Linked DNA regions of Drosophila melanogaster. The protein of the gene in region 1 purifies or fractionates together with the protein of each later gene. This does not show direct contact. Each region holds a gene or a part of one and is shown on either strand. Other genes may lie near its edges. The genes, in order: ox, UQCR-11, UQCR-14 and UQCR-Q.

Region 1 (5,305 bases):
TTCGATTGTGAAACCATTCATTCGTTTAATTTTACTATTTAAGCAGTGCAGTTATTGCTAGTCACTGCAGAAATTAATCATGCCACTGAGCCTAATCTGTGATGTTCCTTTCCTTCCCTTTGAGTAAGCCACTTAAAATGTTGCGGTGTTATCAATTTGTTTTTAATGTTTTTCTTTTATGTAAAATTATAACTGCATTATCAAAAACTAAAATATTACGTTAGTAGAAGATTGCAAGCAAAGGTGACCCAAACAGTGAACTACACCTTTGAAAAAATATTTAACACTTGCTTTGAATAATTACGAAAAAGAACTAGTTTCTTGGGATATTATTGCTTTTTAAGCTACTCCCATAATTGTTTATAGTTCGATTATTTCAGCAAGCCTTGATAGTCAAATTAAATTATAAATTTTTAGTCATAGTGCTTTACTATAGAGGTGAAAGATTAAAAATGTATTTTGAAACTGTCATTTTTTTGAAAGTAACGTAATTATGAAATAGAGTAGCCACAAAGTTTGAATTTGTCATACTTCATACGCATACGTTCACACTGACAGAATATATCGCTTGGATTTAAGAAAAATCGTGCTAAGCGACAGTCACACTCCCCTCCGCCATATTTCTTTTCTTCGTTTCCGGTAGGTGTGTGTACTCCGCATTTTTCGACTTCAATTTAACTTTTGCCGAAATATCAGTGAATTAGCGCCTTAAATTATGTAAAATATCATAGTTAAGAGTTAGATCTACGGGGGTAGCGAATTATTGATTTTCCAATTGAACTTGAAAAATCAATACCAACTGACCCCCGCTGAGACACATCGCTGAGCCTTTGAACCGGCACCAGATGTTTTCCCTTAGCATAATTGATACTATTTGCAAAGCAATTACCTAACCTCGTGTTCTCCACTTGCTTCCCCACAGATTAAAATGCCCGAACTGACCGAAATCAAGAGCGAGGCTGCGCCCTCCACCTCCGCTGAGGCGAAACCCGAGGACGTCCGCGTTGAGGATGATGGCAGTGATAGCGACTCCGATGGTGGCATGCCTGGTCTGGAGGAGGCTGTAGCGGCCACCACACAGCTGGGTGGAGGTGCCACCGGTCTGCCCATCGACCTCGTCTCAAAGGCCAAGCAATCGCGCGGCGAGAAAAAGGCCAGGAAGATCATGCTGAAGCTGGGACTTAAGCAGATCCAGGGCGTCAACCGGGTGACGATCAGGAAGTCGAAGAACATCCTGTTCGTGATCAACAACCCAGATGTGTACAAGAACCCCCACAGCGACACCTACATCGTGTTCGGTGAGGCCAAGATCGAGGATCTGTCGCAACAGGCCCAGGTGGCTGCCGCCGAGAAGTTCAAGGCCCCGGAGGCTGCTGGCGCTGCAGACAGCGTGGGCGCCACCACATCGGTGGCCCCCATTGCCGAGGAAGACGAGGAGGATGTCGATGACACCGGCGTGGATGAGAAGGATATCGAGCTGGTCATCACGCAGGCCAACACGACGAGGGCCAAGGCGATCAAGGCTCTGAAGAACAACAACAATGACATCGTCAACGCCATCATGGAGCTTACTATGCTTTAGAGCGGGCTTCAGCGTTAGCTGCACTCCTGATTTTGTTGTTTACCCGCCTTTCGATAATACTGACCCAAATGTTGTGCATGCCCCTCAAGGGGCAGCATGTTACACCAGTCGAACATTTAATTATATTTCAAAAGATTGCGTCTTAATAAAAATGGATTTATTTCAAATCAAATACGATTGCGTGTATTTTTCGACTAGTTTCGGTTTTCCACTAGGTGGTGTGGGTGTCTTTACTTGCCTTGCTAACCGAATTCGATTAAGTATACATTGAGGTTCCAGGTTAAGTACTTTGAGATTAGGGACTGGCACATAAGGGATTCTATTCTGTATTAGCTATTAATGTTCAGGTTGCAGCCAGCTTGAGGACGCGGGCCTGACTACGCGAGGAGAGGCGAATATCCGCTGGACTCTGCATCCAGGGTTCGCCATCCGCCTGCATTGGCACGGTCTCCTTGACTTGTAGCTAAAAAAAAGATTGTTGGTTAACAAATATTCGGTTCCATCACTGCAGGGCTTACCCTTATTTGCTTGGCTTGGCCAATTCGCACTGGTTTGCTTATATTGCACTGCAGTTGGGCAATGTGGAAAGAGGAAACAATGCCGAACACCTCCATCATACCATCGGAGATGGAGTTTACAATGCGCACTTCACCATTGGCGTTGCTTAGCTCGCAGAGCTTGCAGCCAGCTCCCCATGAGTCGATATTTAGGAACACCAGCGCCTGCAGCTCAGGCAGTTGCACTGGCTTGTTGTCCAGATACAAGGTCAGCTTTTCCTCGATGTGTTCGCAGCCAGGTTGCATCACCTGTTGCGTTCCGAAGGTAAAGTACAGCAGCTGACGAGATGGATACATTAGTTAACGTTAAGTAAGCACACTAGATTGTAGCCTACCTTATTGAATATTCGACTGCTGAGCAGATAGAATCGAGATTCGCGCGTCTTGTGGAAGTTGTAAGTGATGTACGCATCCACACCTACACTGAAATAGTTGTACACATGAATCGTCTTCGTGGGATGCCTCTGAATAGGCAGTCGATAGTGCAGTTTCTCTATTTGCAGGTCAAAGCGGTCGAGATTCACGGAACGTGCTCGCCGTATGCTCCTAAGGATCTTCACCGGGTCGAGAACAGAGGGCGGCTCTGCTCCCCAGCCCAGAACTCGCGACAAATCGTTGCCGGTGCCCAGCGGCATGATGGCCACCGAGGGCTGGGGCTTGATATTCAGCGTATAGATTGTATTGAGCACCCAACCGATGGTGCCATCGCCGCCCGCCACCAGTATGCGACACGGGCGAGGACTGGCTTTGGCGGCCCACTGCAGGGCGTCCTGCGGACCCCTCGAGCCCAGTTCCATCACCTGCAGCGGATGCAGGTAACCGCGGAGCAGGGACAACACATTGGCACCCGTACTGCTGCCCGACTTGGTGTTGGCGATCACAATAAGCGGCTCCCAGTTCTCAATGTCTGGCGGCGTAATGCTGGCCAAGTGGAGCCGCATCGAGTCTCTGGTTCGGGCGGCCACAAAGCTGTATGGCGGGAAGATCATGTCCTTGAACTCGCCCAAGTCGCAGGCTTCCATGGAGTCAGCGCGAGTGTAGCAATCGTTATGATAGCACCGCTGACACCATGCACATCGCCATCCGTATAATCCTGGATCGGTGCTGACATGGTGATCCACCTCCTCGTTGCAGTCGGCACAATGCACTCCCATAGGCAGATTGCCATGCACCCACAAGTGCCGCACGGAGGACTCGTTGCGCAACCACTTGTCCTTGCACCGGTACTCCCTGTCCGCCCTCCGCTGGCAAGGGGGCGTGGCATGGGTGCACAGGCCGCAGCAGTCGCAAAAGAGTCCTGCGGAGGGGGTTAGCAGGATCTCGCACACATTGCAGAAGCAGGCCTAGAATGAAGGGCATGTATCCTATGGTATCTCTTTCGCGGCAAGTGAATCCGCTCACCTGTTCCAACACTTTTATTGATTTCCAGCTGTGACGTGTTTTGAAGGTGCTCACAAAGTCCTCGGAAAGCAGGCTGCGGCAGAAGGCAAAGAGGATACTGAGGGCCAGCAGGGATCCTATCAGCGCCTCCACGCTCAGCTCAATAGTGCCTATGTCCATGGTCCACGCAGATAAGGCCCAATTACGCTAAATATCCTGGTAATTTGGCATATTCACAAATCGTTTGTTTTTGCCCCATCGACCAGTGTGACCGCTTCAAAGACAACAAAAAACACCTTCGACCTCAATTAAAAACACTTTTCAAGAATAAGCACTAATGCGTAATTTCGATAGGCGGAGTGACACTAGTATTTAGATTCAGGACGTTTCCAACACTGCTTGTCAACTCAACCTAACAAATCAGCTGTGAGTTTGGCGTGTGGAAAAAGTTTGATTGGGAACAAATCGGACGTCTTTAACAAAAATCTAGCCAACATGAAGGTTATCTACAACACCCTGTTCAAGCGCACCTCCACCTACGCCGTGGCCATCATCGCGTCGGCCTTTTTCTTCGAGCGCGCTCTCGATGTCACGTCGGTTGCGATTTTCGAGGGCATCAACAAAGGCGTAAGTATAATCCTGTTATGTAAGCAAAGTTTCCTGGCCAAATCTCAAGATTTCCCCGCTTTGCAGAAACTCTGGAAGGACATCAAGGGCAAATACGAATAAATTAACATGATTTGTTGTAATTAGCAATAATAATCAACGTTTATTCTAAACGAAACGATAACTAAGTGTGGTTTCTTTTGGTTATTTTGATTTGGGTGCTTCCAGTGCGTCTTCCGACACCTCCCAGGGCTTCTCATGCCTCTTCTCATCCCAGGGCTGCTCGTTGGGCAGGCGAGAGGGTTCCTTGAAGGACACCCCATTATCCTGAATGGTTTGAAGCAGCTTCTGCAGCTTGCTACCCGGTACCGCCTCCACGTTGCAGGTCATTTCCGTGATCCCAGACTGCAGGCAGCGCTGTGCGAGCACTCTGCCGAGATTTACAAACGCAGATGTGTCGTTGGTCTTGTACAACTGCTGTTTAATGGCCCATTCCGAGGTGCTGGCACTCAGGATGGTTCCATTCTCAAAGTGCTTGACATCGCCGCTGACATAGCGGCCGCTGGTGTTGATTTCCAAAGTGTGCCAGTAGGAACGACCTGGTTTCTCCAGATGATAGCCTACCGGCTTGTAGGCAATGCGTAATCTTTCCAAGTTCCGTGGATTCCGGTTGATCACGTATTCAGTGCTGGCTTGCGGGGTTGTTAATTCCTTGATTTTGTGCAGTACACGGGCGGAGGTGAGGGGGCGAGCACTGCGAGACATTTTTGCGATGGAAACCCGAAAAAAGCGCGCGTTTAATTGATATTTATGTGGAAATTACAAAACCACGATAAAATATTTTGAGCTGCCTTTAGTGTTACCAGACTGCCAGAACTGAGTGTGGGTAAACGATTTATTGGTGCTGTAAAATGTCCAAACATCAGTTGGATGTAAATGGCAAAAAACAGCTGTTTCAGATTGGTTTATCCTCAAATTTCTAGTTTCTGTAGATTCTATTGGCCTTGGAACTTTCGCCGCTCCCCACCACAATAACGCCCCCTTCAGACATGCGCCAAGTGAACACGGCGCCTCCTGCCCGTACGCCCATGAGATTGCTGCTGAGGTGAAGAAGTGGCGGTTGGGTGAAGAAGCAAGCAGTGCGCGCGTCCCAAATTGCAAAGTGATTTTTATTCGGCCC
Region 2 (8,303 bases), on another chromosome or scaffold:
AGATTTGCTTTAAGTTTTCTCCCTTTAGGATATTCGTTAAAAGCCTTGCGATTGTCGCAAAGTCCTTTATAAGACACCTATAGTAGCCTGCTAATTCCAGAAATGATCTGAGTTCGAAAAGCGTTTTAGGTATGGGGAATTATTTTATGGCTTCGACCCTTTCAGGTGAATTTCGTAGAACCGATTGTGACACTATGAACACCAAGTATTTAACGCTCTTTTTAAAGAACATTGACTTCTCCTGGGATACTCGCATGCCTGCCTCCAGGAGTTTTCTTAAAACTTAATCCACGTCCTTAACGTGGTCTTCCTTTGTTTTGGAGAAAATTATGAAGTCATCGACGTGCACGTAGCATATCTTTGAAATTCCATCTCTTAAGACATCGTCAATGACCCTTTGCTTGGGGCATTTTTAAGCCCAAATGGTAATCTACAAAATTCGTATTTGCCGTTGTTTATTGAAAATGCCGTCTTTTCTCTGTCCTTTTCTGCCAGCTTTATGTGGTGAAAGCATGACTTAAGATCAAGTGTCGTAATAAAATTTAAAATGGTTGGGATAGGGTATTTATCGTCGACTGTTCTCTGATTTAGTTTTCTAAAATTGATAACTAGCCGTTACTTTTTTACCCCGTTTTGATCTGTTCCCTTTTTGTCTACAACCCAGGTCGGGTTGTAAAGTTATTTTAGATGACCTTACTAAACAGTCCGCTAGAAGTTGTTTAACCTCTGCATTGATGAATTTAGTCACACCAATGGGATGCGGCTATGATTTTGAATATACTGGCTCCCCATCTGTTTTATTTGTGGCGATAGTATTTATATTGAATGGTAATGCCCCGTCTGGGTCAGCGAAGGCTTTGTGATTTTTAACAATCATTTTATCGAAGGAGTTTTTAATACGTCTTCATCATCGATTTCAATGAAGCTAACGTTTTCTGCCCTAGTAAACTGGATCTTTTCAGTTCCGTTACTAGTATTTAGAACATTTCTGGTAAAATCAAGTTTTGCATTTAATTGTTTAGAATTGTTTAGAATTAGAATTGTTCAGAATAAAAAAGGGTGTTTTTACGTTAAACACCGAAACAAGACATTTTTAATTAATTTTGGCCATGGATTTACTATACAGTAAAGGGTTTTTCTGTCCCGGGAGAGGAGTAATATAATTTTTTGAGGTGCCCGTATCGAGTAATAGTTTTATTTCTCCTCCAGCCACCCTACGTGTAATGTTAGGGAACTTTACCCTAAAAAATTTCACGATCCTCTGCATCCAGTTCGTCCTCTACTTCTATGGCGCTTGCTTGGGCAACGAAGTCATTATCTTCTTTGCTGAGACCGTGCTGACCGCCCTCATTACCATCTTGTAGTTTGTTTGGACCGGGAGGAGGGGTCAACTTCCATTGGCTCTAGCGCCAGTTGGCTTTGCCCATTACCTGCACTTTTGTGTGGCTTTTGTTTAAAGAAACCACTTTGAGTTCTAACAAACATTGGAGTTCTAACAAAATGGGGTTTTTTTTAACCGCCCCCGAATTTTGGTTCGTCGTATGACTGCAAACTTTTCCAACCTGCCTGTCGCGCTGGTTGTTTGGCCAATAGGCTCTTTGTAAAAAAGGGTGAAAGCAATACAAGCAGATTGGAACAGGAGTTAAAAGCAATACATTGACCAATAACCCACTTTAGACCCTATATTTACGGTAAACATTTTACAGTCAAAGCAGATCGTAGATCACTCACCAATTTGTTTTCAAAGTTGACTCGTATAAGACTTGAATTGGGGGAATATAGTTTTACAGTTGATCTCAGAGGAAAAGAAAATTATTTTGCTGATGCGCTACAAAGAATAACCACCAAAGAATTAAAAGACATTACTGGTAATATAATGAAAGTCACTTCACGATTACAAAGTAGTCAAAAATATTGCGCAGGAGGAACGCACAAAACATCCTTGCATATGCAATCGATAGAAAACGTGATAGTAAATAAAATGTTGTTTTTTTAAACAAGGAAAAACAATTACTGCAAGATATGACATTTCAAAGGCTTAGAAGGTATGTCTAAAGAAATCAGAACCTACAACAAGAAATGTCTAAAATGCAAAAAAATAAAATAACTAAGCATACGGAAAACCCCAATAACAGAAACCCCCTATGCTTTCGACAAAGTAATAGTGGGTAATATAGGTCCTCCTCTACCAAAGTCGGATAATGGTAATGAGTCTTCAGTCACCTTTATTTGTAACTTAACTAAATATTTAGTTGCAATACCAATACTATATAAGATCGCAAGTCGCTAATTCAATTTTCGAATCCTTTATCCTGACTTACGGTCCATTGAAAACGTTCATGGGTACAGAGTATAAGCACTCAATAATCAACGATTTTTGCAAAAATTTTAAAATTAAAAATTTAACATTTACCGCTCACCACCATCTGAAAACTTATCAGTTGAATACATATCAGTTGATAAAACTGATTGGGACCTGTGGCTTCAGAATTTCGTACATTGTTTTATACAACCCGTTCTATAGTTTCCATATAGTTTTTGGCAGAGCAGCCGATTTATCATATAGGAAAGAAGGAAAGTAAATGAAGATTGGAAGTACCATATAAGAAAACTAGAACTATGCATGAAGAGTATAAATGAAAGAATAATGAAAATAATGACTTACACATAACAAAATAAAAATAGCAGTGGGAGATAGTTTTGTTATGAAATTAAGTAACTAAACAAAAAACAAGTAGTTCATAATTACACGTTAAAACTTTTTTATTCATAGTTGATGGCATCACTTAATGAAAACAATATCAATAAAAATAAACTAAAATAAAAAAGAAGCCCACTCAGTAAACTCATATTACTTTACTCAATACAAATACTTCAATGTATTATAAATATATACATACGTACAGACACATTTGCAGCGCAAATGCATTGCATAAGCGCTGGCAATGGAAAACATGGGCAAATGGTTCCACCTTTTAAATTTCGAAAATTCGATATCGGAATATCGAAAAAAACTGGCACCAGAATGTCAAAGAATAGTCAGTAGGGTCTGTTATGTTTTGGGGATGCGTAGCCTTCACTGTCTTGGGAGATTTGGTTCCTGTTGATGGACACATGAATCAAATAAAATATTTAGATGTCCTTAATAATAATGATGATGAATTGATTGGAGAGTCCTTCATACTCCAGCATGATAATGCTCCCTGTTATAAGACCAAACTGATTACTGTTTCTGAAAAATGTTTGCATAAAAACATTGGATTGGCCACCTCAAATTCCAGCCCTCAACTTAATAGAATACCCTTGGTTTAGTATTAAAACAAAGGCGTGCAAATACTTATGCCCACTAGTGTAGTATTACCTACCCAATTTCGCTTCTAAAAGGTTCTGATCACCAAAAGGCACAAAACACGTATAAAACTCGATAAAGAGATTTGTTTATTTATGTTCTTATTTTTAAGCACTGCCCTTCCCTTTAATGGAATTGACTTTAATGGTATTTACTTAAGCTTTGTAAAAAGACTGTGCGAAACGCAATGATCTAACTCAGCAACATAGTCAAATAATTCTTCGATGCAAGTCTCAGTTGTTTTGGATCGCCCATTAACACGATCATTGCACTCTTGGTACTTATTGTACAAGGATTCTATGTGACCTTTAGCTTGACATTTTTCCTGTTGCATAAAAATCAGTTTAGTGTTATATTAAATGATGTAAAGAAATCTTTTTTACCCTTAAAACTGCTTGAGGGTCAACTAAGTCCTCTTCGTCATCAGCTCTGACGGCGGGAAGCGAAAACCAGTTCCTAAAAGCCATTATTAATGCTAAAAAGAGAATAAACTAGTCAGAATTCAAAAACATATATAGTACCAAATTTTATGAATATGAACGTAAATTACATTTTTGAAAAATAACTATAACCTTTAAGACCGCTATGATGCAATCACAATGTATTTTATGTATGCCTGAATTATGAGGGCCAGACCAACAAAAACAGATTATTTTATGCATATATATCAATTAGCTAAGCTTATAGCCTAGCCCCAATAGAATACATCTTTATGAACCGTTTGCAATTTTACCTAGATGTTAAAATCTGTTCACACAAGGTACAATCAAAGCAATTAAAATAATTTTTGGCCAGTTGTCCGCCGTGACGGGGGTCAGATAATTTTTTTTAGGCTATAAACTTTTATTTAAAACTTTTCATAATTTTTTCCTGATTCCCTTGATACATGTTTTTGGAGGCAAACATTTAAAAATGACGTGGTGTTTTTAAAACGAAATTCAATCAGCTAAAAGCTGATAAAAAAAGTGGATAAAATATCTACTGAAAATTAATAATTACTAATTCGTTGTGGGCCAGAGTTGTCTTCTCTGTCTTTTTGGTTCTTTTTGCTCTAGTTTTTAAACAATAACTAATTAAAAGCAATCAAATAAATATATGCTTAAGTGATAGAAAGTTTTCATAAAACTGATGCGAAAACTTCTTTATTGATATATACAACTATGCGTGTTCTCTATAAAATTACACACACAAATAAAATTTGTATTGAATAGTTGTTGTAATTTGTATTTGAATAGGAACCATAGTGTGGTAAAAAGCAGAATAAAAAGACCTAAAATATTTGAAACTAACCTTAATTTTTTTATTAGTATGCGCGAGTACCTTCTTCAACCCGTGGACCATCCGCTCGCATACGCCTCCTGCCCGGCATTGAAATTTTCATTCCATTTAATTTGATGACAGTTCGTTCTACATCTTCTCCGTTTTGACTCCTCAATCTGGCCACCGGTCCACGGCAGCTTATAAAATTCCTCAGTGCGACTGTCGACAATTCCTGGGCCATCTTTAGACCCCGACTGCTGCTTCCCTGAAGTACACACACTTCCGACAGGAACGTGTACTGCAAGAAACCTTGAAGCAGCTCCTAATCCCGGGACTTGGCTGCGTCATTATAGATTACGTAGATTATACGTATTTTGGTAGGTTCATTTGGATTTTCGACACCGAAGTGTGGCAGACACTGTCACTGTCACTGTACGTATCATCTTGACATAGCCATTTTCAATTTCTCTGTATGCTGTCAATGTTGATGACCCTCATATTATAGCTGCCTGTCAGCCTCACCTCGTAATTCTTCCATAGCAGACCAGTTAAGGATTGTAAGCCCACAGTAAACTAAATTCCATCAATCCTACAGAACCGCGCCATATGTCCCTTTTCTAAGCACAGAAAATAGATTCGATGCTTCTTTGCAAAGTTTATTCGAGACATTAGAGACGCATGAGTAAACAAAGACACTAGAATAATTTTAAAAAATGAGGAAAACCTAAAATGGTTCAAAAGTGTGTTTTGGGCGTTTTGTTTGTGTTTGCGTGACCAAAGTGTCTTTGGTATGCCGATTAAAATGCCGGAAGACAAACAATAAAACGAAGAAGAATCAAACATTTTTCAATGGTAAGGTCGGTTTTGGGCGGTTTGTTCACGCTAGAGTGGGCATGGCAAAACTTTTTTTTTTGCAAAATCGATAAAAGACTAATATTAATACGAAATAATATAAAAACATTTTTAAAAAGTGTGGGCGAGGCAGTTTTTGGCGGTTTGTGGGCGTGGCAAAAAGTTTTTAGGAATACCGTTAGAAATTTACAAAACTAATACTGTTTAACTAATAAGCTCTTCTATTAGCTATTTGCAAAGAAAAGACGATTTCTATGCAGCGATCTCGAACGATAATTTATTTTTTTATCAATTGCACGGGTCCCACGGCCACACCTCCCGCCCAACCGACCGAGTGGCGCTGTCGTGTATTGTTTATGCATAAATTACTAAAGAATATGATGAATAATTGGAGAGCGACTTATTTGCAGAGGAAACAGCAGAACTCCAAGTCAAAGGTGTAGGTGCGACCAAAGACACTAGAATTGCATGTGGTATTGACTTGACCGACGCACAGCAGTTCGTAGAAGAGACTAGCGCCAATCATTAAGTCTATGGGTAGAAAACGATGACACTTTGGGTCCGCGAGCGTCAGATTTAGGAATATGTTTCAGCTGAAAATGTCAATGTTTAGGCACGACTGACTTTCAACGACATTGCAAGCAATGGCAGCAGTAATGTCAGTCGAGTAGTTATTTACTGACGAACCATCTGCCTTAAAACTAGAATCGCCAATTGCGGTAACACAAGCTGCCAATAATGCCTTCATAAGTTGAGCGCCGTCTCTCTTTACAACGCAACCATGCATACATTGCTTTCGTTTCGGGGCAATTCGATGATCGAGCACCCTTACCTTCAACTAACTCGAAAAACAAGCTTTTGCTCTCGCGGAGCGAAAAGACCGCCTCTCCTACACCGCTCCCCACACAGCCACAATCGAACATTCCGGGTAACTGTAACACTGCAATAACAAGTGCAGTGACCTCCCTAGAAACTGTCACTGCTACCACAACAACAACTTCGTTAGCGGCCCAACTAATCGCTGTGCCAGCTGTAAATAATTCTGCAACACCGACCATTGGCAACAACAATAATGGACGTAAAAAAAGAACCAAAACAAAAGCAGAAGGCGATTGCCAAGAATACGGCCACACCAAGGCATACTGCTGTGTGGTTTAACGTATAGCAAATACATACAACAAAGTCAATTTCTGCTCTCCGCATTCGATGTTTCAACCACCCTTAACTGTCCCAAGCACTACTCTTGGAATTTTCTTCGCTAGCGCCTTAAAATCCGGACTAGAAGTCCCCGCCTCACCGACTAGAACTGCTCATTCCGAACATAAATTGACAAATATGCAACAAACTGAACAAAGTGGCATTGAAGCTATGATGCTATCCCTACAGAAAAGCATGAAATATTTCATAACGATCAAAACGTGCAAAATTTCCTGATACAACTTCTTGTATCTTCAAAATCCCCATGCTGGCTTCCCTACGGATATCTATTCACTTCATACACAAGAACTCACACAGTTCATTACCGAAAAAAACACTGGAGTAATGCTACTATCAGAAACGCACCTCACAAATCATTCAGATGGTAAAGCTCTTGGAGGCACTGGCATACTAATCAGAAATCGCATAAAAACCACCTCAATCTACGTCCATAGTCTAACTACTCAACAATGGTTCAATGACTCTAGCCGCAGTCTACTGCCCACCACGCTATCCAATACATACTGACCAGCAGACCCAAGAAAAATCCCAGACCCAGATCACACATAGAACTAACGCCGGCATTATCTGCTAAGGAAAATATAGACAAGTCAACGGACACTGTTGAAAATATTCTAGTTTCGGGTGCAAAGTGACGTATGCCCACCAGCACTAAGAACCTTTTGTAGAGAAAAGACAGTGATGAGAAAAGAGCCAGAGCAGTTGCTGACCACTTACAAATTTTATTTCTACCAAATCCTGCTATAAAGTCATTATTCTCCCTCCTTTAGCAGAAGCAAACTTAGATTATGTGAATTAGCAAAGGTTATCAAAAAGCAACTGAAGCGATTTTGGCTTCGACCTAATAACTCAAAAAATCCTTATTGAACTCCCAGTGTGATGTTCTGCACATGTGCTTGTTGTTCAACGCAATCGCCAAGCATGGATACTTCCCTCAAAAATGGAAAAAATCTACCATAGTAATGATTCCAATGCCAGGAAAAGATAAAACGCAGCCATCATCATATAGACCGATACAGTAACTAACTTATCTCTAAAATTTATTTGAAAAAATGCTACTCCTGGGAATAAGCCCTCGTCATGGAAAAAACATGGAACCATCGAACAGGCCAATCGAATCACGTCAGAAATTCGTACTGCTTTTGAGCATCGAGAATATTACACAGCCATTTTACTAGACGTCGCGCAGGCATTTGACAGTGTTTCTGGATGGACTTTTGCTTAAACTAGCCAAGCTATTGTTCCAAAACATACATAAGCTACTGAAGTCGCAATAAGATGCAAGGAACCTTCACTGGCTCATGCTCGCTCTCCACTTAGCGTGGAGTTCAAAGCTCTCCTATACAACTCCGTCTTAAAACCAATCTGGACTTATGGCTCCGACCTGTGGGGCATCCATTCAGCGAGAACAGCCAACAATTCTGAGAATTCTGACTAGAGCGTGATACCTTCGGAACGAAGACATACACAGAGAGAAAAAAATCAAATTATTTATCGAAATAATAACTGAGAAGAAAATTAAAATACCTAGTAAAACTGACCACCCATTCAAATCCCCTCACAAGAAAACTAATCGGAGGCACAAAGTGTTCGTATCATAAAATCTTTGTTGCTTTTAAAAACC
Region 3 (8,298 bases), on another chromosome or scaffold:
GTGATCTATACGCAGAGCCTGAATACGGTGAACTTCATCGACTACGAGTATGCCGATTACAATTTCCAGGCCTTCGACATTGGCAACCACTTTGCGGAGATGTGCGGCGTGGATGAGGTCGACTATTCGCGCTATCCGAAGCGCGAGTTCCAGCTCCAGTGGCTGAGGGTCTACCTTGAGGAGTACCTACAGCGCAGCAACATTCAAAACGACGAAGTCGAACTGCTCTATGTCCAGGTCAATCAGTTTGCGCTGGCATCGCATATCTTTTGGACGGTGTGGTCCCTGTTGCAAGCCGAGCATTCCACTATCGATTTCGACTACGTAGGGTGCGTGTTGCATAGTATATGGACTGTAACTTTGAGTTGGGAATGCACGATGCAATTAGATGATAAATCCTTTAGATATATAGATATATATCATCAGTATATATATCAGTTTTGTTTGATAAGATCCATCAACAACCATTAGACGGCCATTATAATGGATTTATTATATTATTGTGCACCCTGCAATTCCTTTTTTCCCCCAATTACGACCCTTACAACCAATCGATACTAATGACCAATTTTTTATTCGCCCCATTTAGCTATGCATTTCTTCGTTATAATGAGTACTTGGCTCGAAAGGTGGAGTTTTTGTCATTGACTGCAGCTAAGAACAATAAGTGATTTCTCTCTCCCGGCCACTCAGCGCATTGGGAGTTACTACATTATGTGCCCAGTGATATATGTATAAACTAAGGCTGGAACGGGTCTCAATGTTATACATATGTATATATATAACGTGTGTTCAGAAATCAGAAACAAAAACCGAAACAAACTTAAATTAGTGTCGTGTTCGTGCCAGCCTTAGTGTATGTACAGTGCTCACTCGAAACAGTGGACTATTGAGAACCAAGGGTGTGCACTGAATCGAATTTGTTCACTATAACGAATCACAGAAAAAATAAACAATTTAATATATTTTTCAAAAACACCACGTTTGAAAAAATTTAATTTTTTTACTAAGTTAAGCGAAAGTTTCTAAAATTTCATAAATTAATCGTTCACTTTTACTAAAAAGTTCACATATTCGAGTGTTCACTCTTAAGGGAGGGCACTGTATATATAAAGAATTTGTATATGTTCTTTAATTTGTATAAATTGATATTTTGTAGTCATAATAAAGCGAAGGTATGTACTTTAAAATAAAAACGCTATCAATCATTTTAATGAAGGGTTTACCGTTGGCGGGGGCTTATCGCAAAAAATTGGGGAAATATTATTTAAATGAGAAGTAGGGATTTCCGCTTGTCGAAGCACTCCGCTAATTACCAACATTTTTGCCTTTTTTGTTTGCTGTTTAATATACAATACCCGTGTTGCAAGTTAAGTGAAAGTTGTATATCTTCAGGCATCATTTTTATAATTAATTTAATCGAGGTTATTGGTTAACATAAATTATAACTTAACCCAAATTAAAAACCTTTTTTGAGTGTTTCCCATAACAAATTACAAAAGGAGAAAGCCACAATCATTCGGTTTGATAAACTACAAGTATTTTGTTTATGAAGGCGGATTTTTACATGGGCTTAAATGGGTTTACAAGAATTTGAATTGATTTTATTTACTTTATACAAAAAGTTATTGCAAAATGACCAACTTTGGAGATGTAATTATACTGTAGTTCGGTTGCCGTCTCCACCAAGTTTTTGAACAATCTAAATACAAATACAAAAGGGTAAAATGTTAAAAGATAATATATTTAATAGCTCTAAAACTAAAGAATAACGAATTTTCTTGAGTGCGATATATCGATAGGTGCAGTGTGTCTGTATTACATTTCGGAAATCGATTTGTACAAACGCAACCGTAGTGCTCGTTGATCGATAACGGGGTGCGATAGCTATCGAGAGACCCATCTCCAACGTTCTCATACCTAAAATAAAAAGGCTGGAGGAATATCTCTTTCCCGACTTCTGATTTTACGTAAACCATGTCGAACTATATTGCCAGAAAGGGACCCGCAGTTCTCTGTAAGTAATACGAACGGGCAACAATCGGACTCACGTTGCATGCAACAAATTTCGTAGTGCAGTACGCCGGAATATTATGATTACGTAAATATGTAATGCGAATTTTTCCCCACAGCAAATCTGGGCAGATGGGCCTACAATCTCTCCGGATTCAACCAATACGGTAGGACTACTATATAACCTAGTGATTCCTAACAGCTGAGCTTGATGCCATCGATTTTTGCAGGTCTGCATCGCGATGATTGTCTGTATGAGAACGAGGATGTGAAGGAGGCCGTGCGCCGATTGCCCAGGAAGCTGTACGATGAGCGTAACTACCGCATCATGAGGGCCCTCCATCTGTCCATGACCAAGACCATTCTGCCCAAGGAGCAGTGGACCAAGTACGAGGAGGACGTCAAGTATCTGGAACCCTACCTCAAGGAGGTCGTGAAGGAGCGCGAGGAGCGTGAGGACTGGGAAAAGATCCACTAAACGCGCCACTAAATCCCTCTACTTTGGACTTGTAAATGTTGAAATACATAGCTTAGATAAATACCAAAATTGGCTATGAAATCGAGTCTGCGTGGTCGTTTGGGAATGTGGACCCTTCAGTTTATTTCAATGGGCTTTCGCGTCAAGGCGAGATGAGCGCGTTAAGTGATCATGAGTATGGGCTATTTGCTATGTTATATTTTTTATTTTTTGTGAGGCTCCATGCTACCTTACCTTTTGTATAAATGGTAAATTAAACAGCGATCCTAAAACAGGCACTCGGCCTAGGAAATTAATGGCCACGGGGAAGAAGCCGCTGAAAATATAAAGAGAAGGACATTAATAAGTAATAAGTAAACGACAAATCACTAAAAGAAGTTACTTCCACTTGTATTGCCATCTTGCACGTTTCGAAGTTAAGTTAAATTCTTATATTCACTGAATATTTTCCCTACTTTGAATAGATTTCCATTCATTAATCCGATATATATGAAGCAGACCTTTTAACGTTCGTTAAAAGATATTTTAATGAATAAAAAGACCTACATATATTAGGGTAATTATTAAGTTGCACCTTTGGTCGTAACTTATGAAGAAGCATGCAATTGAAAAGGTAAAAGGAGAGAGGTATAGATAGGAAAAAATGTATAAAAGGACAGAACAGAACAAAACAGACAGAAACAGCGAATAGTTATAATGAAGGACATACTTTTTGCTTTCTTTAGCTCTGATCAAATGCTATAAAATCTGATCGAGCTTTTTTTGTAAGCGAATCTGAAGAATTATACTTGGTATTTGCTGTTAATGCCACAGCGTCAAATTGTCCCATCTACATGACTTGCAGTCTTTCAATTAAAATATAAAATATTTCTAAAGGATGTCATCTGACAGCAACTTTGACTGCCAAGCCCTGACTTGCGAATGGTGTATTAAGAGCGGGAAAGCGAAAAGACCATGTGGAGTGCGTAACCGGTTAGCCCCGCTCAAATGGTCTTAAACGAATCCGACTGGGACTTGGCCAGGGTGCTACGAACCTGAAGAGTGCGAAAAATCCATAGGATTCAATAATCATGCCGAAGATGGGGAATCCCAGCAGGACGATGACGATTCCCCCTAAGAAGGCCGTTGTGCCTTTGACTTTGTGCCGTTGGAAGAAAAAGCGCATCGTGCGCTCCACGCCAATGACGCAGGCCAGGCCCGATATGAATAGAATCTGCGGGAAAGAGGCGATTGCTATTATTATAGAGCTCGAAGGGTGTGCTATATGGGGCATATGGTGCATGTGCATGTGGGTAACGTACATTGCCAATGGCGAGCAGTCCTTTATCGAACAGCAGCAGCATGCCGAGAAACAAAAAGAAAATGCCAAAACCAGCCAAGCCGATGCCAATTTCTGCGGGAAGATTTCAATAGGCGGTTTAGTTGCGCTGATGGCTTTCGCATATTAATGGCTACTTACTCTGCAAATCTGATATTTCAATCATTTTGTATTTGGCTCTGCTTTAATTTGATTTCAGAAAAAATTAAATCCACGTAAACACCAATTCAATTTCAAAGCACAAACAGCTGATTTCGACTTTCATTCAAAGTTACGTGCTAACGACTGTAAACAATGTTTGCAGGGATGCAAGCGCTTTAGTGTTGTAAAGCGATCAAGCTGCCGATTAATTATTTAAAACCTCTTGGATTCAGTCCATTTGGATGCAAATAAATGATAAAATGTATTAAATAAAACTATTTTTACCATTTAATACGTATTTTCCCACAAATATAATATTCGGCATATTTGTGTTCCATTCCCACACATTTCAATGATATATAGATAGATATTTCGATAGGCGCTACAAGACCCACACATACCAGCCCCCTTCGACGCACATCCCTAATTAATTTTCACACGCCATTTTACAATAGAATTTGTGACGATCTGACGCTTTCTTCAATTCGAGCAATTTGTACGCAGCGAGTTATTGAAACTCCTGCAATTCTATTGATTAAAAAAAGACTTCACGCAACGTTTATTAAACATGGAACGTAAGTATAATTTTAACACGCGCATAAGTCGCAACGTGAATTGAAAACGATGAAATATGTGCACTCTAGGTGGCGGTTATGGTGGTGGTTCGGGACAGGGATATAATAATTTCGCTGTCCCCCCACCAAATTACCAGCAAATGCCAAATAAAACGGGTAACTACAACGAGCCACCTCCGAACTACGGCAAACAAGGCGGTGGTAAGGCGTGCATGCGAACTTTGTGTTGCGAGCAACACACCAATACTCACAAACTTATGTTTTTAAGGTTATGATTCCGGTTCCGGTCATCGTGGTTCTGGTGGCAGCGGCAACGGTGGCGGCGGCGGCGGATCATGGAACGACAGAGGAGGCAATTCCTACGGGTATGTTATCCACTTTTAGTATTTCGCTGCTGTTGAGTTACAGCGAGGCTATTTAGATCATGGGTAGTAGTCTTTCACGGAGGTTTTTTAAGTGTTATAAGAGAAGTGTACGCATATATAAATATTTACAAATCAATCCAGCCAAACCAATGAGAAAAGACACCGAGCCACTCCTTGAAACATGAAGCGTATTTTAAAGATATTATTGAAATGCAAGAGATGCACTGTGCTGCATCAGAGTGTGAAACTGCTTGAAGCTATTCCTGCAACTACGACTTGTTCCGACTGCTTAAAAACGCAGAAAACATAAAATTATAACAACAAAAAAAAACGTATCTCCCAATTTGGCAAATTATTATTTATCCGCATGACTGTATTTCATGTACGTTTGTTTTTTTTTCATCGAAAATCTGTGTAAAAATATTAGAAAATGGTATTTCAAAATGGTTTTGACGAGTCAAATGAGTATAATGGTAAAAAAAAAAACAGATGATGCCCTGGGGAAACAAATATCTGCAATGCATAAATAATACTGGTTATACTGAATAAGTAATAATAAGTAATACCACAGTCGTTGCAATCGGAATAATAATGGTCGCCTAATGAAATCTATGATGAATTTGTGATAATTGCATAGAGAATCGCGCACATGTTATTATTATCGTTTTAAACCATACACTATATCATCCATTCCTGCCTTAATACGATACAATGCTAGCATAAACATGTTCCAAAATGAACATTCAAAAAATGTGTGTGTTCCCAACAGGATGGTTATGAAAACCAGATCAAACATGACACAAGTGTAATCGAAGATATAAAGCTAAAAAGAATATAAAAAATATCAACCAGCAATCATAAAATTAAATAAATTGTGGCTCGAGACAAAAACAATAAACAATAAAAAAATTCGATATATTATTAATGCACAGTTCGGAGGAATTGGTATGGTTCTGAGACTCTAATCATCTTAAGGTATTTACGTATACAAAAATAATAACAAATTTTAATTATTAGCTATTAAGGTTATTACATATGTTTATACACATAAGAAAGCAATGATTTTGCGCCTAAGAGAGAGCTTACCTCTAACAATCTAAATGTAAGATAGTTTTAAGCAATTTGTTTTATATAGTTTCAATCTCATTGACCGTTTTTAAGGTATTTTTTTTGTTTGTGATTTTAACAACTACTAAACTACTAAACTTTTGAATTATTTATCATTTAAGCTTGTTTTATAGTAGTTAAGCAAGAATGTAGGTATGTAGGTAGTGTTGTGTGTTTAATAACGATGGTATTTTGCTGCGATATACCTACTACATACATAAGTGTATTTAACTGGGTCGAACTCCTTCCTTCCCTCTCATTTCTGTGAATTTGGTAAACAAATGCTTTTCCAATAGTAGACTAATGCAAACGTTAAGATTATGTGTATAAGAGTTAGGTGTATGTATGGCAAACAGTATGTACGTTGTCCTCCTTGGCAGTTTGATCAGTGACTGCCGCCGCACTTGGCTCTAATTTTGTGATGGAAAGCAACAAAACGGACATTCGCTGTTTGAACGTCGTCGTCACTGACCGAACTGTGCCGGGTGCTCTATAGATGGTATTAGATGCCATAAGATCGAACAAAGCAATACGTATTCTAACAAGGGATCCTAGGCGTATACCTCACCATACTGCATTAAAACCAAAATCAAAGCATTAAATAAGTTATTCAATATCCTCTTTTAGAAATGGAGGCGCCAGCAAGGACAGCTACAACAAAGGTAAAAATAATGCAAACAATTGCAAACATATCGAGTAATGTATACCAATATTTTTCTACATATTGAACTTGAATCTAAAATCGAAGTAGAACAACAAAATTTTAAACACAAAAAAGAAAACCCAAACCGATTAGAACATAAAAACAGAGTCTAATTCCAAACCAAAAGAGTAAATAATTGAATATGCATATTAAACAAACATCCTCCTTTCCTGGCGGCATTCTTTTCATTGTGGGGCCTTGCCCATTTGAAATTTCGTCGAAAAGTCCACGCATCGTTACCTATAAAGTGTATTTAGCGTACTTTTCCAAATCGTTGATCTCTGTTTGATCAATATATAATGGTTAACGACCGACTCGGTCAGCCCACGGGTATTTAGTATTTAATTTCTGTAAAGTGTTGTATACATGTGTCAAAGCGTTGTCACGAATCAAATCAAGGGTTGGTCGGTCGGGCTAACTCCTGGCAATTTGGGGTCACCTGTTTGTGTTCTTGTGTACCAGTCAGTCTGGCTTTGATAGCTCAAAAGCCGACCGAAACCCGTTCAAAGTGTCCCCATGTCGTCTCTCCCACGGTCGTCCACCCACTAAAGGTTTTTTGAAATACACCTCAAAATTCTGGTTTCACATCTAAGTGTCCTGGTTAAAATGTCACGGAACAGCCGTCTACTTTGGTCCTCACCTTCGTTGCATTTTTTGGTGGTTGCAGTGAGGCGAGAAGTTCTAAGAAAAAAACAAAACAAAAAAAAGAAAATGAAAAAACCAAATATTAATTAAATAAAGTAGCAGTTGCATTCTAAGCTATACCCTGCCGTGCCAGCTCGTCCTTATTTCCCATTCGCTTTTGTAGGACACGGAGGATACTCGGGCGGCGGCGGTGGTGGTGGAGGAGGCGGCGGCGGTGGGTCCGGTGGCAACGACATGATCACCCAGGAGGACACCATCTTTGTCTCCGGCATGGATCCCTCGACCACCGAGCAGGACATTGAGACACACTTTGGAGCAATTGGCATCATCAAGGCAAGTAGTAATGTATTTTATGTATCTGTAGCTACGTTTTAACCTTTGTATCTTTCTATTCCTTTGCAACTGATCTAACAACAGAAAGACAAGCGTACAATGAAGCCCAAGATTTGGCTGTACAAGAACAAGGAGACCGGCGCCTCCAAGGGAGAGGCCACTGTCACCTACGACGACACCAATGCTGCACAATCCGCCATTGAATGGTTCGATGGACGCGACTTCAACGGCAATGCGATCAAGGTGTCGCTGGCCCAGCGCCAGAACAACTGGAACAAGGGCGGAGGCGGCGGCGGCGGTGGTGGTGGTCGCGGAGGATTTGGCGGACGTCGCGGTGGTGGTGGCGGCGGAGGAGGTGGCGGCGGCGGTGGAGGTCGCTTCGATCGCGGAGGAGGCGGTGGCGGCGGACGCTACGATCGCGGAGGAGGCGGTGGTGGTGGCGGCGGCGGTGGCAACGTGCAGCCCCGTGATGGTGACTGGAAATGCAACAGCTGTAATAACACCAACTTTGCCTGGCGCAACGAATGCAATAGGTGAGTTGAGAGTTGAGATATAATTGCTTTCAACATTCCATTCCATCATAATTCCTAAAACTCCACACTTGCTTGTAAATATCGTGG
Region 4 (8,397 bases), on another chromosome or scaffold:
ACTTAAGCAACATTTCGTATTCGAAATCCATAATTAATTTGTTGACCTGCAACACAGTGCGTATGTGTTATATTCATTTAGAACATTGCGCATACGTCATGTTGAGTCATAGAATAAATGATTGCTTAAATTAAAGGAATAATTACAACATCTTAGAAAGAATTTAGTAACTCGAAATGATTATGATATGACTCACTTGTAACTAATATCCAATGCTCTTAGGAACCAGCACCATGTTGTCGTTCATCACGCTTTCCTCATCGCAGAGCAAGAACCTGCCCAAGGTGAGCTACATAAAGGTGTCGGAGGTGTGGTTCCTGGGCTGCACCTTCTTCATCTTCGGCAGCCTGGTGGAGTTTGCCTTTGTCAACACCATTTGGCGCCGCAAGGAGAACATTGAGCTGAAGAAGGTCAACAGCAAGTACATCATAAAATCCACATTGACACCACGACCGGCCCGCCGTCAAATTGGCGGAAGTTTGAGCAACGAGTCCAGGGCTAGATCGTGTTCCAGTTTGGACAACATTGTTTCCAGCACGGAGAGCGTGCGCAATGGCAATGGCACTGTGAATCAGGGCTTCAACAACTATTTGACAGTGCATGTAAGTACTCCAGATCGATGTCTTTCATGAGCTTTCTGTATTTTAACATTTCTCATGTCCTTAGCCCAATTTACCCATCATAAGAACGGAGTGCGCCGAGGCAGATACAGTGTCTATCTGCAGTGCGCGTACGAACAACGATCATATCGTGGATGTGGACAAGGATAAAAAGGACACGCCGCCCACCTTTACCACCATGACACCGCAGGAGATCGCCATGTGGATAGACCGGCGGTCGCGATTTCTTTTTCCGGCCATGTTCCTCGCCTTCAACGCTCTGTATTGGACCTTCGTCTATGTTTTGTAAGCGGATGTAGGCAGATGCCGCCGTTTATGTGAAATCTTGTCTATTTGCGTAGTCCTGATCGCGCAAATAATTGTTAAAGTGTAAGATGCATCATCTCATAGCTGTATAAATGTTAATCATTAATAAAGGTATAAACTATATCTCAACATTCGTATAAAAGGCTAATAATGGCAGGAAAAGTATTCTTGCTTGACAACTCATTTTAATCTAATGCATTTTGAATACAATAAAATTATTTATATGATATTTTACATATATTGAGATGAATGTGCCATCTTTAGTGGGCAAGTTTGAATACTTTGTATGCCTAATCACAGAAAATGAAGTTAAAAAGATAAGTAGCCCTCGATTTTACAATTCCATGTGTCTATTCTGTCTATTAATTTGAATAAATATAATCTTTTCGTTCACGAAATTTAAGTTTTTAAGCCGCTCACATATTTTATTACGGCAAAGGTAAGCAATTATGTTTTACATTATTTTATTGTTATATTTTAATAAGAATCCACTAATAGTTTAAAGATCCGCTATCCACACAAATTAGGTTCAAGTCCACGCTGAAAGTCTACAAAGTTACACATTCTGGTGGTGGCCTGCACTTAGCTTCTGTCCAAGACATCAATCTTAAAAAGCGGCACTTTTAGGACATTTTTCAAAAATAAAGCCTAACTGCTTGGTATGTTCAAGCGGCCCGTCCACGGTCACACTGGTTGAGACGAGTCGAGAGGAAATTGCAGCGTAAAAGTCGAATTTCAAGGTAAAAATTTGGCATCATAATCGGTACAATGGCAGGTGCTGGCTCTAAAAATATGCACAATTATGGGCTGCCAAAAGTGCAGAGATCGCGCCCAGTGTTAGACGTACTCGGCCGCCTTCATCCGCGGAGCAGTGCGAAAATTACATAACCTCCGGGTGCAGCAAATATAGGAGCACCACCTAGGCCATAATGTTTATAATAACGATCTGTGTCTTCATACAAATCCTGGTGCACTTCCTCTGCGGTTGCTAATCAAAGCTTTCCCCATCCGCAGCCCCACAACCATGCGTCTATCCTCGATCCTGAATGGCCAGCATTTTGGCAACTTGGCCAAGGTGCACGGCATCGTCACCTACAAGCTGTCGCCCTTCGAGCAGCGCGCCTTCGCTGGAGCGATCAGCAAGGGACTGCCCAACATGGTGCGTCGCTTCCGCTCCAACGTCTTCATCGTTACTCCCCGTAAGTAAATCGCTCAGGATTCCCGTCGAATCGTATTCTAATACCCAATTTTTCAGCCTTCATCGTGGGATACCTGATCTACGATCTGACCGAACGCAAGCACACCGCCCTGCTGCGCAAGAACCCCGCTGACTACGCGAACGACGAATAAGCGTCCCAACTAGCAGATAGTTATGTTAAACTAATTAATAAAACTAAACCCACAGTTCAAGAGAGTTGTGTGTTTCGGTTGCTGGAAGGCTAAACACCAAAGGCTTTGTACTCATACGTTACACATGGGATAATTTTATGTTCTATTTTATCAGTTTTATTGCTCTGTTTGCTAAACAATTCTAGAGAGAATTTGTTTTTCTGGATGAGCAGCTGCATCAGCTGTTCCCCAGTCTTGGTTTGAGTCCAAGCTATCTCGCCCTGCAATGTCTCAAAATAAAATAACAAAAAATTCATATGATGAGAATTTCAAAGAAAAAACACGACATGGAGGCAATATATTACGTTTTAATAATAAAATAAAAATTTTACTTGTTTTTAATATTCGGTAACGGTCTTAGCATTGATAGTCACCCGCTAGAGTTGCAGAGAATCAATCATCGAAAGTCACCCGAAACAATCGATGAGTGAGAAAAGTAAATAGCCCCACCTCTAGCCACCGCACAGCTGTTTGCAAGCAAAATATTGGCGTTCTAATTGGTTATTGATCCGATATTAGTGCATTAATGGACTGCTGCGGTAACGAAGTGCGCAGCGAAAGTATCCACAACATGCTACAGGCCCTGGTGGACTCAAAGGTGGTCAACGTGCAGCTTTTGTCGATTGCCGTGGGCATTTTCTTCGTGGTCATGCTGCTGAAAAACAATTTTCGCAGCTTTTCTGTCACGTAGATGGATCCAGTTTAGTGTTTAATATATCTCATAATGTAATGTACGCTAAGGATTAATAATAACTACCACAAGCCACCTTGCATCTTGTTTCAGTTCTATGGTTTTTGGAGCACTCCTCGAGGCAGTGACGTCACGTACATTATATGTGTAATATTTTGGGTGCTAGAACGTACTCGTGCTTTTTTCGGTCTCAGGGTCATCGTGTTATTTCGTAGGTGTTTGCACAACAACACGCCCAACCCCAAAAATATAATTGTTTTCGAAGGCCGGGTGAACTGGTTTGACTGCCCCCGAGACTTCCACGGATCGTGCAAAAAAAAAGAAGAAAAAAATAGAGCCCAGAATTTGTTAATTTCATCATCAGGCGACTGTGATTCTTGGCAAGCTGTCTTGCGATAAGATAGGTTATTCGAATACTCGAAGTAAGTCCTACTTGGAACAGGCATTCTCATCCAAAAACTGTTGAACTTTTGCCCCAATTGCCGGAGTAGAAGCCATATCCAATCACACTCAATTGCTATCCACAAACGATTCCAATTGACCGGCGATTGATTGCCCAATGTCTGCACGCACTTCCTGGTGCAGCATTAGAATTCAATAGACGCCCGACTTCAGCTGGCTCCATTCTGCAATCCCGTACTGACTCATTGCCCGGCACTTTCAGAATTTATGCAATACTGCGGTACGTGCTCTTATGCTAAAATATTGCATTAGAACACCCAGCGAACGTGACTTGATTGCAGGGCTAGAAATAGCAGCACTACCTTTAAGCCCTCGGATAAGCCACTGAGACAAGTCTACCTATTCTTCTGATTAGTGTTGCTTATACGAACATGAAGGATCCCATAAATATTCTTAAACATCAACTGATAGTCCTGCAACTGTCTAATCCTTCATATAGCCTGAAAATCTACCTAACTTCACAGCTTACTAATATAAACAAAAAAGTTACATCTTTAGTAGTTTATTATTAGTTTATAATAATCAGAGAACATATGCATTTCTTAGAAATTTCCGTGAATAAATGACCATTATTACAAGCACAACTTACGCATTAAACAATAATAATTGATTGATTAATACATATTCATATGTATTAATTACATCATCGGATCATTCAAACTTTCCCAACAAATGCAGTTAAGCTATTGCTTACCACACAAAATAAATCAAAATAAAGCCATCCATTAAGCCGGATCATTAACCCGATTCCATACTGCTGAATGGATAATCCAGCAGCTTGTCAATGAACTTGTAAATCGGGAGTTCCAGGAACTCCGACGCCCGTCGAAAACGAAGTGCTGACTGAAGTTCCGTTTGGTTAGTTTAATCATTTACTGTTCATAAGAGATCTATATATGTATGTACATAACAATTTTTACAGAGATATTCGGTTACAGAAGAAATTTTGTAAAAAGCTTATCTAAAAACCATAAATTTGAATATCCATCAGATAATGGGTACGAAATCAGATCATCCCTCGACAGTTGACTGTTGCTGGTTACTTAACTTATTTTTCAGCGCAGAGGAGAGGCAGTCCAAGTTATGGGATCGAATTTTTGAAGACCTGGGATTCGCCTCAAAACTTGGTGGCTTATCAGAGCCCGCCGAGCTGGAATCTTCCTTATCGCCTTCGCCAAATTTCCGTTTCTTGCGATGCTTTATTTGATCACTCGGCTTGGGCATTGGTAGCTGTTCGGAAGGGATCGATCTGACATCAGCTTTATCGTCATGGTTGTTGTGAATCTTCTGATGGCGCGTTTTTTTAACTTTCTTCTTCTGGAGACTTGCCATGATACTTATCATTTCCTCCTGCTGGGCTTCGTACCTGGAGATGATGGCGTTCCGGCGCTCCAGCTTGGCGGTGAGGAAACCGACTTGGTTCTTGAGGCTGTCCACTTCCCCAGCCTGCTCGGCAATGGTCTTCATCTCGCGGCGCACCCGCTTCATCTCCTTTTCCACCAGTTCGGCATTCTGCCGGACTTCGGTCATACGTTGCTGGTACTTGTTACGTGTGAGATTGATCTGCTCCTCCAGGAAGGCAATGTACTTCTCCTGCTTAGCCACGTGCTCGTCAAGTTTCTCCAGCTGCTGGCTCAACACTGAACACTGCTCGGCTCCACCGCACTCCCGCTCATTCCGATTCGATTGAGCTGCGGCTAGTTCGCTCTGTAGAAGCTGGATCTCCTGTTCCATACGCGCCTGCAGAACCACCTGCTCCTGCCGATACTTACGATGTTGGTTGTGCTTGGAGCGCAGCGAGGACACCTCGCTCCGCAGGAGAACCACCTCGTTCTCCAATCGGGCTTTGGCTCGATCGTGGTATGGCATCGCGCTGGACGAATGAAATTTTGGTAGTCCAAAACACACGGCTTGTCTATTGGAAAATTGCTTCAAGATTGGGGTGTCTATTGGGATTTTGAAGGCATTCAGTGGGGAATCCGAGATCTGACATTTAAAAACTTAAATAAAACGTTGTTATGCAAGCATGCTCCGGTAATTGAAATTTTTTTTGATTACGCAATTCAATGGCAACCTTCGATATTTGTTCCCCTGTAAATAAGATCTGATTTGATATAAAAAAAAGGCATTTACTTTTTATTTCGACCAGATAAAAGTGCCCGTTTTACAAATCGAAAAATTCGAACGAAACGAAAACCGAAAAATCTGTGCTTTCGATTTAAGATCGATATCGTAAATTACGATAAATTCTCGATGATTCCAGTTTTTAAGCGATTACATTCCACGTGGCATTTGCTTAAAAACCTAATTTCAGGTAAATATCAACGTTATTTATAAATATAAGTCCATTCAAAGACCACTAATTAATAGGCTAGCCTAACTAACCATCAGTCTTGAACATTTGGCTTAAATATTCTGGATAAAATGGAATTCAATTACCTTGCTGATTCCGCACTTTCCACTTTAGTGGAAAACAAAAAGTTCTTCAAGGAAATGTCAGATTTCGTGTCCGATTTCAGCGATGGCGGGAAGATCAAGAAGTTGCTCGAGCAGAGCGTTGAGCAGAGCGTGGAGCACGCCGTGAATGTAGTCCATATGAAGATAAAGCACCAATCGCTCAACAAGGCTATGAATCAGGTCAAAAACTCTAGCGCCACCATCGAGGAGTTCGAGGAAGTCTGGAAGGAACGCTCCAAAGCGGTGGAGCAGAAGCGCATCAATGTCAAGAATCTACACGAGTTCAAGAACTTCGTAAAAGCAGTTGAATCAGCAGCTGGTCAGGCGGGTGCGGAAGTCAATGATCAAGCGAATGGCACCGCCTATGATGAGGACCTTATTATGGAAGACTCCGGCAGCGAGGTCTTCTCGTTCTACGATCCCTGGTCCAAGGCCCTGATAAAGAACCCCATGCGCAACAAAATGTGCGGTCACATCTACGACCGCGACTCGGTGATGCCGATCATAATGGACCGCATTGGCATCCGATGCCCGGTGCTCGGCTGCGCCAACTTGTGCTACATCCAGCCAGATCACCTGGTCCAGGACGCCAATGTCCAGCAAAAGATACAACAGAGCATGTCTAACGCGATCGTGGATGTAACTGCCTCGGAGGAGGACGAGGAATAGAACAGATAATGATTGTGCCCAACTCCGTCCTTGTTGAGAATTAACTTAGTAAAATAAAATAAATTCATTGTTGCCATTATTTTATTTTATAATAACTTGTACTTCTATTAATACACATATATGCTAATTTAAGCTGACCACAAAACCCAGTGAAACCACAATGTACACACAAGAATACGATTCACAACATATTCCTGTACCTACTTGTGTTTTCATTGGACTTCTTGGTCGAATGCGAAATTTTCTTGGAGTGAAGATACTGGATCAGCAATTGGTTGGCCGAAGATTGCGGCTTCACTTGGATGTCGCTCCTTTGCAGCTTCTCCACGGCACCGAGCATGTCCTGGCAGTGGTGGCCAATCCGCTTGGCCCGATCCCTTTCGACACTGGCCAGCACCTTTTGCAGATGCGACTCCAGCATGATGGCATTGTTCTTGATGGTGGACACCTGGCGCTCATAGTGCGCCTTTATTCTTTTCATCTCCCGCTGCTGCTTCTCGATGCGACGGGCCTGCATAAGGATTATGTCCGCCAGGTTTTGGCGATCGGTGTGATGCTGCTCTGCCTTACAATCCTGCTGCACCAGGACACCAAATTCTTCCTCGGAGATCGGACTTCCTATGCGCTTCAGGCTGGAACTCGTATTCCGACCGACAGTTTGTAGAGACTGCAATGGTTTCCTAGATGGCCTGGAGGACATCTTCTGAGTCTTTTGCCGCGTATCTAAAGTTCTTCGGGAATATGGCCTTTCATTCGGCAAACCAGGCAATCCATCGTTGCAAATCCTCACGCCCTTGGTCATTTTAAACAATAATTTAGCCACTCGTGAATTCGTTCTGACTCTTAATTTTATTCGAATTAGTTCAAATTTTGTCGATTAAGTGAGGGCAAACGTTGTTTCACCTCTAAAAATATTTAATGGTTAATTGAACTCTTAAGGCAATTCTGCGTAATAAATAAGCAACTGAACTGTTTACTTTTTTATGATATAAATGTTCGATTATGAATCATGCAACACTCAAATCTCTGCAAATATCCTCAAATTGGCGGAAAGTGAAAAAGTCGATCACTTTTACCCTTTTTTTTGTAACGATACTGACCAACTAATCTCAGTTATTTGAAAGTACTATAAAAACCACAAGCAAAATGACTGCAATTTGATAAACTCAGGTTCAAGGTGGGCTCATTTTTGGCAAGATCTGGTCAGAGTTTTCATGATTGTATGGGTTGAACCAGAGTTGAAAGTGCCACGCCCATCACTTGAGGCGACCAACCACACGCAAATAACCATATATGTATGTACATACATGTATGCATATGAATATTTAAGTAGGTACAACAAATTTGCACTTCTTGTATACTTATCTTAATATCTCTTAAGTAAATTTGGAAATAAGGAAAAATGTTTGAAGTTTCATACATTGCTGTCTTGGTTAGAGTATTCCAAAACCATTGATTTATGTTTTCTCTGCCTTTTGGTAAGCATAATTTGTATATTTTTGGCCGCGATGCCGCACACTTGATAAGGGTTATCGATATGCCCATGGATATATGCATGCATTATGTGCGACTGATCATTATTTGTTTTCTTCCCATAGCCTGTGCATCGCATTCGCAAGTTGTAAATTATTTGGCAGCAGGAAGCGGATTTCGTTTGGTTTTCGGGGTGTGGAAGATGGATGGATGGTGCTGGCCGGCGAAAAAAAAGACATTCTTAATATCCTGAATACTCATAAATTCAAAGTACCCCCTTGAGCCATAATTCAAGCAACTTCCTCGAATAATTCGATTCACAGTCCTTCA

The links.
Region 2: the proteins of ox (region 1) and UQCR-11 fractionate together in Drosophila melanogaster (co-fractionation; one study listed by BioGRID). This does not show direct contact.
Region 3: the proteins of ox (region 1) and UQCR-14 fractionate together in Drosophila melanogaster (co-fractionation; one study listed by BioGRID). This does not show direct contact.
Region 4: the proteins of ox (region 1) and UQCR-Q fractionate together in Drosophila melanogaster (co-fractionation; one study listed by BioGRID). This does not show direct contact.

What each region holds. Positions count from the first base shown.
Region 1 is NT_033778.4:12,756,139-12,761,443, reverse strand, and holds ox (oxen), read left to right. Parts: upstream 1-3,914; 5' UTR 3,915-4,014; coding exon 4,015-4,146; intron 4,147-4,212; coding exon 4,213-4,248; 3' UTR 4,249-4,311; downstream 4,312-5,305. Other genes in the region: Nacalpha (nascent polypeptide associated complex protein alpha subunit), read left to right, coding at 929-1,582; Dgkepsilon (diacyl glycerol kinase epsilon), read right to left, coding at 1,926-2,045, 2,101-2,418, 2,475-3,482, 3,541-3,699; mRpL18 (mitochondrial ribosomal protein L18), read right to left, coding at 4,330-4,890. UniProt on the Drosophila melanogaster protein: Component of the ubiquinol-cytochrome c oxidoreductase, a multisubunit transmembrane complex that is part of the mitochondrial electron transport chain which drives oxidative phosphorylation.
Region 2 is NT_037436.4:25,116,415-25,124,717, reverse strand, and holds UQCR-11 (Ubiquinol-cytochrome c reductase 11 kDa subunit), read right to left. Parts: upstream 3,970-8,303; 5' UTR 3,900-3,969; intron 3,841-3,899; 5' UTR 3,817-3,840; coding exon 3,733-3,816; intron 3,675-3,732; coding exon 3,501-3,674; 3' UTR 3,347-3,500; downstream 1-3,346.
Region 3 is NC_004354.4:16,284,433-16,292,730, forward strand, and holds UQCR-14 (Ubiquinol-cytochrome c reductase 14 kDa subunit), read left to right. Parts: upstream 1-1,855; 5' UTR 1,856-1,977; coding exon 1,978-2,017; exon of another isoform or gene 2,018-2,132; coding exon 2,133-2,180; exon of another isoform or gene 2,181-2,243; coding exon 2,244-2,491; 3' UTR 2,492-2,556; downstream 2,557-8,298. Other genes in the region: eas (easily shocked), read left to right, coding at 1-329, 590-671; CG32576 (uncharacterized protein), read right to left, coding at 1,658-1,702, 2,726-2,807, 3,526-3,704, 3,793-3,884, 3,951-3,975; caz (cabeza), read left to right, coding at 4,519-4,525, 4,595-4,726, 4,794-4,890, 6,625-6,659, 7,509-7,678, 7,763-8,211.
Region 4 is NT_037436.4:17,473,470-17,481,866, forward strand, and holds UQCR-Q (Ubiquinol-cytochrome c reductase ubiquinone-binding protein), read left to right. Parts: upstream 1-1,579; 5' UTR 1,580-1,666; intron 1,667-1,750; exon of another isoform or gene 1,751-1,855; coding exon of another isoform or gene 1,856-1,918; exon of another isoform or gene 1,919-1,940; 5' UTR 1,941-1,950; coding exon 1,951-2,125; intron 2,126-2,181; coding exon 2,182-2,276; 3' UTR 2,277-2,655; downstream 2,656-8,397. Other genes in the region: SecCl (secretory chloride channel), read left to right, coding at 223-602, 667-909; CG46525 (uncharacterized protein), read left to right, coding at 1,856-1,918; CG34250 (uncharacterized protein), read left to right, coding at 2,842-3,002, 3,100-3,157; CG13733 (uncharacterized protein), read right to left, coding at 4,480-5,337; qjt (quijote), read left to right, coding at 5,893-6,594; CG6333 (uncharacterized protein), read right to left, coding at 6,776-7,396.